3 linked regions of the Solanum lycopersicum genome follow. The protein of the gene in region 2 interacts with the protein of the main gene of each other region in a pairwise test. Links are inferred from orthologs where the notes say so. Each region holds a gene or a part of one and is shown on either strand. Other genes may lie near its edges.

What was found.
Region 1: the proteins of polyadenylation and cleavage factor homolog 4 (region 2) and protein CLP1 homolog interact in a two-hybrid assay, tested with the Arabidopsis thaliana proteins (3 studies listed by BioGRID). The link is inferred for Solanum lycopersicum from reciprocal best matches to the Arabidopsis thaliana genes PCFS4 and CLPS3.
Region 3: the proteins of polyadenylation and cleavage factor homolog 4 (region 2) and zinc finger CCCH domain-containing protein 49-like interact in binary tests that used the Arabidopsis thaliana proteins (3 or more experiments, as listed by UniProt). The link is inferred for Solanum lycopersicum from reciprocal best matches to the Arabidopsis thaliana genes PCFS4 and MAC5A.

The regions. Positions count from the first base shown.
Region 1 is NC_090800.1:3,701,247-3,705,687, reverse strand, and holds the start of protein CLP1 homolog, read left to right. Parts: upstream 1-1,614; 5' UTR 1,615-1,919; intron 1,920-3,190; 5' UTR 3,191-3,240; coding exon 3,241-3,456; intron 3,457-4,441. Other genes in the region: serine/threonine-protein kinase Nek5-like, read left to right, coding at 1-85. UniProt on the Arabidopsis thaliana protein: Required for endonucleolytic cleavage during polyadenylation-dependent pre-mRNA 3'-end formation. Functions in gametophyte, embryo and postembryotic development.
Region 2 is NC_090811.1:66,838,801-66,841,999, forward strand, and holds part of polyadenylation and cleavage factor homolog 4, read left to right. Parts: intron 1-1,299; coding exon 1,300-1,992; intron 1,993-2,439; coding exon 2,440-3,199.
Region 3 is NC_090803.1:8,435,564-8,439,793, reverse strand, and holds the start of zinc finger CCCH domain-containing protein 49-like, read right to left. Parts: upstream 2,915-4,230; 5' UTR 2,720-2,914; intron 2,588-2,719; 5' UTR 2,574-2,587; coding exon 2,469-2,573; intron 946-2,468; coding exon 676-945; intron 220-675; coding exon 1-219.

The sequences.
Region 1 (4,441 bases), on a different chromosome or scaffold from region 2:
CAAGGTCTCACCGAGGGAGACAGCTATCTGGTTAGCCAAGAGTATGAAAGGAATGATGCTTGAAGATTCTGCGCGAAATTCATGATCCATTATGCTTGTTCTACAGTGTTGCTCACTTGTTATTATTTTTTCTTTATGTCATTCAACTTCCTATTGAATTCGCGAAGAGAAAGCAGTTGAAGAGGTGCTTTAACTTCCCTTTTTCACATTAGTATTTATGTAATTCATTCACTTCTGTAATTGTATATAGATAGATAGAAACTTTGAATAAATCTTTGATGTGCAAAATGTAAGGATGTTTTGATATTTGATGGTGTGCATTGTTACATTTCTTGAGTAGCACTTCCTTTGCACAAGACTCCTTCCTTTCATTACCTATAATGAATTATTGGCTACGACGGTAAACACTCCTCACTTTCAACCATCAGGTTGTGACTTCGAGTCATTAGAGGAGCAAAAAAGTGGGCCTTTTTAGAGAGGAGGTAAAAAAATATGTAAACAAAAAACGTTTAGCCTATATTAGGTACTATAGTTACATCTTAAGAAAGTTGTAATTCGTGGTTATAGTTTTCTCAATTCTTGCTATTCGTTTGATTTATATATAACTAGTCTTGTTTGTATATATCCAGAATGTCGTATATGCTTGCTCTAACTATTTGTAAACGATATATGAAAAATTCATAATAAATTACTCTATTTGTGTATTGACAACCAAAATATTACAAACAGAATTGTGAAAAAAAACCATAAATGTATAACTATAGAATTTGTATATATTTACCCTATTTGTATTTTCACAAGCGAATTACACAAATGGATACAACAAACCGCAGTCTCCATAGCAAACAAAACTATAGACATTACAACTATAGAGCTTTATTATATCTATTCTGTTTGTTATTTCTAAAATTTTCTCTAAAATTGTATTAACAAATTATACCATATTGGAATCTTGATTTTGTGAAACTATTTTTAGCTAATTTTTATTTTGTAGTTTAGCTAAAACTATTTTTTTTCATTTAAGTGTCTAATTTTTAATAGTTTTGAATAAAGAAAATAACTCTTTCAATTATTTTTTTAATTGTTTTTAGATCTCCTATATATAAAAACAAAAATATTTGATGACAAGAGCATAAGATAAGCAAACTTGTGAAAGACTACCAATTAACCCACTAAAAACTATGAAAAAATTGCCAAATGTAACTTGATTATGCCTCATAATTACACCTTTTAAATAATTACAAAATATAACTATATTTTACATTTTATAGTTGATACACGTGTCCTTATAGTCGTCTTTAATAGAGAGTATTTTACCTTCTAATGTAAAACTTTTTTATGCGAATTCAAATTTAATTGAATTTCAATATGGATATCATCGAGTGGAAAACTAAAAAAATATATGCATATATAGACACTATCAATTTATATACAATATTTCAATTTATATGTCGCATAATGTATACATTTTTAAAAGAAAAATATAATAATATTTTGAAGTAACACAATGTCACTATTATTTTTTCCTCAAATAAATAACATTAATCTTGCTATTTATGAACTTTTTTAAATATTTACTATCAAATATAAATAAACTTGATAATTTTGATACATAAATAATTCCTTCTCGTAAGACCGCCATGATGGGAGTTATTTATAATTTCTTCGTAAAAATTTATATTTTCATATCGTAACATTTTATAAATTATAATTTTTTTTAAATATTTTAATAATTTTTCAATTCAATTTATTGATCAATTCGATTTTTCGAGCCGTCCATATACCCAAGAAGAGACCTGTTGGATTCCGGCCCGCCAATTTAAACAACCCACTGAACTCAACTCAACTGGAACTGAAACGACACAGTATTTTCGTCTTCTCCGGCGAACTTGCTCTTCTCCGGCGAAGTCTCCTCATAGGTATACCTCTATCCTTATACTCCAATTTCTCCTCTAAACAGAAAAACCCTAATTTTTTTTTTGTTATTCCTTGCCCTAATGATAGATTTTGGGTTTTAAAAAAACTGCATATTTGGATTGTATTGCAATGTTTTTGTAATTTTTTTATTTGATTGTGTTTGAATGTGTATAAAGTTTGTAACTTGGATACCCAAGGGTGTGGTCTAGTGTCAATTGGAAGTAGGTTGAGAATTGTGAGGTTTTGGGTTCAAATCCTAGTAGAGACGAGAAATTGTAGGTTTCAAGTTTTGGTGAGCAAAGTTATCGTGTACATGTGCTGGTGGTGTATGAAGTGTGTAACTTGGGCACCCCAAGGTTGTGGCAAGTGCTAATGAAGTAGGTTGATAATCATGAGGTGTTAGGTTTACATCCCCATTTAGACAGGAATTATTTCTTTCTATCTGTTCAAATTTTGATGGATAAAGTTATCGCGTACATCTGTTGGTGGTGTATGAAGTGTGTAACTTGGGCGCACCCAAGGTTCAATGTTGTCGCTAGTGTTAATAAAGTAGGTTGAGAATCATGAGGTGTCAGGTCCCCGTACGAACAAGAATTATTTATTTCTATATGTTCAAATTTGGTGGACACTTACATGTGTTGGTGGGAGGTAGTAGGTACCCTGGCCCGTCGGACACAACGGTTGTATAAAAAAGGGGAAGTGTGTAACTTGGTGTTCATTTGGTCATTAGACTGATTATGCAATGAGTTGTTTCAATATTTTTATAAGCAAGTTCTTGCACAAGTCTTTCAAATTTCATTGTTTTTCTTGTGGTTATTTAGAAAAGTTACTTATAGTTATCCTTTATGTACTTTTATCCCCTCTAATCCAATATTTTGTCTAACTGGGATTACGAAGAAGAGAAAAAGTCTCCTGCAACTTGAAGCAATAGTTCCAAATTCGTACATCTTTCATTTGGAGCGATCAGAACAATAATTTCAATGGTTAAGCAATGCATGCCCAATTGATTCGAAAATCAAGAACTGATACACCATTTTAAAATAACTAATAAAAATATGTATATAAGAGTTCATTAGAGCATGCTGCTGTCTGTTTTTCATGGGTACTGAAATGAGGTCACCCAGTTTAACCACAACATTGTCCATGGACAGTCACTAGTAAAGGAGAACCATACTGAAGGAAAAGAAAGGCGTGGAATTGTTTTCCATTCTTATTATTAGTAGAAAGCATGATCTTTCTTTAACTCTTCTCTTTTAACTAACTGTACCCATAGGCTTGGTGAAAATTTCCAGAATTGGAGCCAACAAGAGAAGCATCTCTGATATGGCTTATGGAGGCACAAATGTCAATCCATTGGCAGCAACAGGTGGTTCAACAACAGTGAGGCAGGTGAAGTTGGAAAAAGAATGTGAGCTCCGAGTTGAAGCCAGCGCTGACTCGCCTCTCCGTCTTCGGCTCCTAACTGGCACGGCTGAGATTTTTGGGACTGAAATCCCTCCTGGAATCTGGCTCAACTTTCCTCCAAGACTTAAATTTGCAGTATGATTCTATATCCATCATCTATCAATGAAATGAATGTGTGCCCTGGAATGATTGCTTTACTGTGAAAATCTTTGCTGGATGAATCTAGTAAATGCCTCAAGTTTCATTAATATATCTTTTGCACGTGAGTATCAATTTAGGTTATGTTTGATAAACAGAACTGCTTACTGACATACAAGGATATGAAAAATTCTTTCTAGATTTACATGGATTATAAAGAGCCTAGCTAGATGGAGTAGTTTCCAGTTTCCACTAGGTGGGAGCTATTCATAATTGCATGGATAACCCCCCCCCCCCCTCTCTCCAAATGCTTTGCTCTAGGTAAGATCGCAACCATCGTGTATGTCACGGGTTTAAACCTGCCTAACACAAGAGCACGGTATATATTTTATTGGATAAGGTAAAGGTTTACTAAATAACTGAGTACCAAAGGTAGAGAGGTGGGCCCATTTCCACAGAGTTTGGAACTGTGCACCATTGGCTCCTTGGAGATTTCTCGGGTATAAAGAGAACTACTATAAAAGGACAGGAGAAGGTACAGAAGGCGTCCTTACTAAGAATATTGGACATGTTCTTCAATACCAGTCAGTTGATTGAAATAGAGATGCTGGACTAGAATAAGCAGTGGGCTTGTGGGGGAGCTTCTTTTGATGTTTAGAACAGAAGAAGGGTTTTGCAGATTGTCCTCTGGAAATTTTAACTTGTCATGAGAATCATTCTGCAATCACATTTGGGTTGAACTCCCGAGTTTATTGAGTAATTCAAGTTGTATTAATGTTAGGCTACACTAAGTTGGTACTGAAATTGTTACTCGGAAACTAGCAAAAAATTACTTAAGGAACTAACAAAGTCAATCGAAGAAGCATTCTTTTCAAATCTGATTTAAATGCCAAAAAGTGCTGCAGCAAACAAATTAGCTTTTGTCTTCTGTATAGGGTTTGCCTTGCCTTCATACACTTTTTGTTTCTTTATCTCCACAAGG
Region 2 (3,199 bases):
TTTATTTTGATTTATCATCTGTTACCCCTTGGTTCTCATATCCACACCTAATATTCGAAATCGTTGAATTAAACGTTAGGATTTGGCCAAATTTATGAAAAAGTCTTCAGCAAAGATATTGTGCTAATTAATATAATCTGAAATGTTTTTTTCTTGGACAAGGTAAGCATGTTATATATTCAAAAGCCGAATAACTTAGCACTAAGGTAGTGCACATAACTGGAAACTTCTGTACAAAAACAAGTTGAATCAGGGGCTCTCTAACACTGAGGATCTAATTAGTGTAGGCATGAGACAATTTTGGTCTAAGTTTTTTGTTATGTGAATTTTTTTCTATTAATTTATGCCTTTTAAGCTTCCTTTGGTTCCATTGGAGTTGCTTATTCCAATGGGAGGAGAAAAAGTTTACCACCAACAAATTCTAGGGCTTAAGACTGAAAATTACCATTTTTTTAAAAAAAAGTTACTTTTGAAGTGTCAAATTGAGGCAGAAATGTCATTCAAGGAGACTAAGTTTAAAATTAGGTAAAAGGCTTTAATCAAGGCATAACAGAAGTTTAAAGCCTTCTGCATACAACTTTACTTGTAGTACAGGTAAGACACATCGTTGACACACATCATCGACATTGTTGTGTCTTATGGTTGGATCTTCTATAGGTAGTTGTGATAGACATAATTGAACCACTTGATTGAAGTTCTTCTTTTCATCTCATTTTTCATTCATTTACTGGCACTTTATGTAGGTTTTTGAGAATTTGGTCCTTTGGAAGTACCTGGGCCTGTAATTAAAGTAATTTTATTGGGAGATAGATAGGGGGGTAGTGTAGAACAATTTGATTGAGGATGCCCTGTTGACATTCCTCATTAGATATCAAATGTGGTTAGATCTTTTTTGTTCCAGATACAGATGATCCCTAGACATGTATTTTTGAAGTTAGAACTGTTCGAGCAACTTGGCTTAGTATATTTTCAAGGAGTCACCCTACAGAATCGTAGTCTAGTTATCAATCCACATGTTTTTTTTTTCTTTCATGCAAACTAGATGAATGGGGTAGAATGAAATAGCATTTAATAAATCTGCTGACTCCGGTTACTTCTGTATTCTTACTAGTTTGGTAGGTATAAGGGTATTATTTTTGAAGTAAACGTGATAGGCTTCATAGTTGAGTTACACCGACCGACTTGCTTTATTGTACTTATTAATATGTTTCCGCTTAGATGCTAAACACGTGAAAGAGTTTTAAACTGCAAAAAGGGATGATGAGTAGAATTTCTTAGAGTGAGGTTTGACTGTTGCAGGTAAGAGCTGAAAATTCTACAGGTCATATATCTTCAGATCTGGAAGCCAAGCAAGTTCTGTCTACATCTTCAAAGAATGCGAGATCATCCTCTCCTTATAGAGTGGGGCCTCCGAGGTCATTGTCACCCACCCTCAACGAGTTTGCCTTGGATAATCCTGCCATAGGACTCAGAGAAAGGGCCTCACCGTCTCATACTGCACTTGACTATGGGTTTAGCAGAGTAAGAGGTAGAGATGTTGAGAGGAGTGAGTGGCAGAGAATTTTGCCTGATGGGGCCAATCAGCAACCAGACGTTCCTCCTAAATATCGCATAAACAAGGGAATTGATCTTCAAGGACCTAGAGCTTTGATTGATGCTTATGGAATTGATGAAAGGGAAAAAGTAGCCCATCTGAGGCAGCAAAAGACTGGGAATGCCACTATTAATGGCTTAGGCAATGGGTTAGCAGTTAAGACATGGCAAAATACCGAAGAGGAAGAGTTTAACTGGGAAGATATGAGTCCAACTTTAGCAGATCAGAGCCCGTTTAATGATTTGTCAGCATCTCTTCGCCATCCTCAGAGTATCAGGATGAGACCTTGTGTTGATTCACAACATGCTGGGCCATTGGTGGCTGATCCTAGAAGGAACTGGGCTAATCGAGGGCAATATTCTTTAGTTCATGATTCTTCCGTGGATGATGTTCACTCGGTTAGTATTGATGTACTATCGCATGCAATTATTTTCCTTTAGTATTTTGCTGACTAATGTTATGCAACTTAGTTTTTTGCTTATTAATGGTATTCAAACTTTTTTATGTCTCTGATATCTCTAACTTGTTTGGAGCAATAACAATTAGCCTTAGCAGCATATGTTGTAATCTTATCTTCAGCTGATTGTTCAGATTGGAATTCTATATCTGCTTCCCATTGGCTAAAACAAACGTAATTGGAGCCAGTGACTTTATTTGGTTGTATTTGTTATTATCTGAGTTATTTGACGGATGTGGACCAAACTCGTACTTTTATTTGGCGATCAAGATAGCATCATAATGCACCATGAGTTAATTCATTTGCTCTTTGTCTTGTATAAGGAGGCATCTTTTTTTTTTATTTTATCACTTGAGAGATATTTTTTTTCATATTGAAATTATGTCAGTTCTTTTGGCAGTCTGGTCGAGGGGCGAGAAATAAAATTACTGGATATTGCGATGAGACATCTCTGATTTCAGGTTCACATTATCTTCAAAAGCTTCCAGAAAATGTGCCACAGTTGCCTCTAAGACATTTAAAGGGTGAAGGAAGTGGAATCTCATCAGTGACCGGTGAATCAAAGCACCCTTTGATTGGCAATTTGGCTGCTGATGGACATACTTGGAGGCCACCATATGTTCCGCCAAGAATGAATCCTACTTTTGACTCTTCAGTTCAGGATGTTCGGGTGGTTACTGGACGGGGCCCTGGTGTACCATGGCCTCCCCAAAATGTGCATACTCCCCATTCTTTGACTTCAAAACCTGTTGTTCTGCCTCATAATCACGTCAGAAGTCCTTATGAAGTAAATAATGCAAGCAATTCAGTTGTCAATCATACTTTGGACAGGCCAGTTCTTCCTGAGCAACATATTGATAATTTGAAGAGCAGCTCACATATCAAGTTTCCACAATTTCCTAGTCAACACCCCACATCATTTTCTACAAGTCATCAAAATTCTGAACAAATGGCTTCAGCAGAACCTCAGCTATTGCTTTCTCAGCGTATTCATCAGACTATGCCTCCAAGTGCCTCACTTCCAGCCTCAAACCATTTGCTACCACCAACTTATAGATACCCTCTACCGGGTCCTGGTTCTTCTATAGGTCCTCACTTCCCCCGTCCAGTTTCAGGTCCACAAGTGTCTATGCCATTGGTTAATGTCC
Region 3 (4,230 bases), on a different chromosome or scaffold from region 2:
GTAACGGTCCTTAATGTTTTGCTGTGACAACTCCCCAGTCTCCGGCATTTCGTGCCTATAAGGGCACTCCAAACCTCTAGTGCATTGACCACGTATATAGAAACTGCAAACATGTGCCCGATTTCTCTTGTAGTATGGAGTAGTTCTTTGGAGCTTCAAAATAGTGTCATTCGCACGGACTTTTCCATATGAAGATTCATAATCAATCCCTGCTCTTGCCTGTTCAGAAAGAAAGCATAGGTCAACAGGAGAAAATAGAAAAACAAAGTGATTATCACAGCACAGTTTTGTCTGAAGCGAATCTTTTAGGTTCACTTTCTATCAAAGGTTCTACATATATATGTCATTCTCATTCCTTATGTACTCCTCCCTCTGAGATGAGGAAGGAGGGAACCCAATAACAACACAGCCCAATCAATTTTGGCTAAAAGAAAGTTTCGGCTCAAAGATTTAGCAACTTTTCAAATAAGCTAATTCACATTTGCACTCTGAAAGTTGCAAGTAAAAAATATTCAAGGTAACAAGCACATACCCTCAGTAATAGATAAGTATTATTCTAAATTTGTGTGGGGTGGGGGATGACCTTTATATGCATGTAACTGTGCATATGCAGGTGGAGCACAAAGACATGTTATAATAAAGTATTAATAAACTTCAAGTTGAAACTTCACATACCCTGCGGTCATGCTCCTCTGCAAAATATTCTCTATTAACGTCACTCTTGGGAATTGCATCATTAGAATTGATACTGAGAGCAGTGTCTCGGACCTGAACTGGCAAACCATACTCGAGATCCAAAAGACAAACTTGACAAACATTCTTCAACTTGCTGCAGGTCTGACAGATCTCAGATTTTTTGTATCTTGCATCCCGACCAGGTCTCCATCGGAACACTGTGAAGGGTCGTGTGCATATCTTGCACTCCTTATCATAATCTGCTTTCGTCTGAAAGGAACAATGACAATATCAAAAGGTTCAATACTTGACAAATGAAAAAGTAAATGTAACTTGACCACGTCATAAAACTCAGATCAATCTATATGCCTTATACGAAGAAAACTGACATTTTGACGATAGGAATGGCGAGTAGAAACAATCAAGTAGGATACAGCTATGTATTAAGAGAAGTTGTCAGCAGTTAACAACATGCAAAAATGAATATAGAATCTATTTTGATAAGAATGTGATGCAAGCAAGTGTATAACCTAACCAATTATCAGCAAACAAGGACTAGAAGAGAGTAATAAACCTAATAGGCTAATAGCCTTTTCCTTTATTGAGAAAAGACAACTTATTCTTTCCCTATGACTCAAATAAAATACTTGTCTTGTTATCTTCATTAAATATGAGCGGCCAGATCAATCACACGTTATAATTACTTCAGCAAGAAGCTGGGCTGTGAGGCGTATCAGATATAAAAGAATAGCGCTCTAACCTTTGAAGTTTGATTCCTTGGAAAAACAAAACTACACCTTTTAGTTCCTAACTGAACAAAGTTACCCTGTTTATCTTAGTTTTTACCAATTAATGCAAATCCTGATTGCTGAAAAACATATAATTTATCTACTTCCCTATATCCTGAGATGCCAACCCACTATACAGAAACAAGCTTGTGGATGTTATCAATGTAAGAGTGCTATATACAGAGGCTGACATGCCAATGTGCAACATCGACTCAACAAATTCAATTTTTCAACAGCTCAGCAAATACTAAGTTTTACACCCATAATTGTTGAAGTGCTATGGTTCGGATATGAGGCATAAGATTGAACCCATTTGGTTTAAATCCTGGATCCACCTCCGACTATATTCACTTAAACTTAAGACAAATGACTTCCTCAAGTTAGTACTTATGATGTATGGTGGGTGCACGTAACAAGTTAGAATCTGACTTGTGGACAAGTCTAGCATTTACATGGAGGCATACCACTATCCACCTACTGTTGAAGTATAATTTCTCTGTGGTAATAAGAACAACTTCATCAACTTTTTTTCAAACACTAGAATGTATTAACCAAAGTGAGGCTTTTTCTCTTTAATCGTTTTACCACCTTGCTGAAGCAGTTAATGAGAACATAGCAAAGACCAAAAGATCTCAAATTATGTCCAATTTCATGCTTGCATTCTCTCTGCTAGCATGCTGTTTCATTTAATTTGTTGGTATAAATACCGTCAACACATTCCTATGCATAAGAGGGAAGATTCAAATAAGAAAAGGGTGTAACCTTTTTAAACCAAAATTAAATAATTTGAATGGAAAAAGCTCAACCAATTAGAAGGACATCAAGCACAATATCAGTTCCTAAATTCTATAAACACACTAAGCCCTCAATTCTAGTTCAAAACACCATAAACATAACAAACAAACCCTAATTCTATTCACAAATGAAAACAAAAAATGAATACAAAATCATGAAATTATTCACAAAATAATAGAAAACTCAAAGAAGAGAAGTTCAAAATATTACCATTCGCACATAGGGACTATCCCCGAGACAAGACTCACATATAATCGGAAAATCAGATCGCTCCCATCCATCAGCTTCTGCATCTCTAAGCAACCTATGCGCCATTAATTACTATATTCCTGTTTCACAAAAAACACAAACTTATCAAATGAAGCTTTTTCTTCACACCCACTGCATAAAAAATTCCAATTTATCAAAATATAAGGTACCAAGTTTAGGTTGATTTTATCAAAACGAAGCACAAACTTTACCTGAGTGAAATACAGCGACGGAGATTACGGCGGCGGAAGAAATATAGCGGCAACGCTTACGGCGGTGGAGGAGATACGGCGGCGGAGCAAAAGGGAGGAGAGGAGAGGAGACGAGAGAAAAAACCCACTAAGTATTAATGTGAAGAAGAGGAAATCGAATTTTTAGCAAAAGTTTAGTATTAGTACGTTTAGTCCTTCTAATATCAATATATTATATTTTTATCCATATATTTTCAATAAATTGATTTGTACACTTTAATTCCTCAAAAGTCAAAACTGTGAATTTCCAATTTTAATGTGCTAAACTACTCAATTATCAAAGTGTTGGGTCAAATTTATACTCTTGCTTTATATTTGAAAATGATATATTATTTCACGAAATATGTAAGTGAAACTCAAATATTATAAGATTTAAAATAAAAATTGTTATAAATGTAAGTTCATAATAATATAATATAAAGAGAAGATGGCAAGAAATGTAGTTAGAAGACATAACTTTTTTTCTTTTTCAAATGTATTTGCAAATGGTGAGTAATATCTCTATTTATAGTCACCAAAAGTAGTAGATACATAGTTATCACTTAAGGTTCTTATCACCTTGAGAAAACTCGTACATGAATACATTTAATTTTTGAATAAATAATCCACACAATACAATGGATTTATAACACTCCCCTTGGATGTCCATAGATTATGTGCTTCGTTAGAACCTAACTAGGAAAAATTTTGTGGAAAAAATCTCAGTGAAGAAACAAAAGTACAAAACCTCGATAAAAAAAAATGCAACACGTATTATACTCTCCCCTGAGCGAAGAATACTTAATTCTTATGAATATGTCATCCAATCATATATACCAACTTCGCAGATATTGAAAATGTCTTTGTGATTAAATCACATTCACGAAGATGTGCATGATTGAACTCATTTCTGATATGTCATTTTCTGATTTCATGGATATGATGAGCTTTTGAGCTTAGCCGAATATATTCTTGAAAATCACTTTATTTGTGACCTCGTTACTGCAAGTAAATTGCTCACTTAACTTGCTATAGCAACAATCATCTTGTGGAAACTTTCATTTGCAGTTGTTAATCTTCGTACATTCTGGTTGGTATATTATTTTTCAAAGAAAACACATATTTTTTGAACATGGTGTGTCATTGATCTAAATCATACGCACTGTCGACTGGCTTAATGGAGGACTTTTATTTGTGCATGATTTGAAGAAGTGATTATCAACATTTGTTTCATTGATCGCCAAGATATTATTATGCTTCTACATGTAAACAAATAACCTCTTTGAGATCGACTTTCATGCGGATCAATATTTTGCATCTGCATAACCAATCAACTCTGACTTTGACTCCTCGATATAGAATAAACTCATGTCTATGGTCTTTCAAAGATTATGTTCTTAACAACATTTCATGTCCTTTTGTTGGGGAAGAATTAAATCTTGCCAGTAAATTTACTGCAAAACAGATATTTGATCGTATATTGTTAGCAAGAT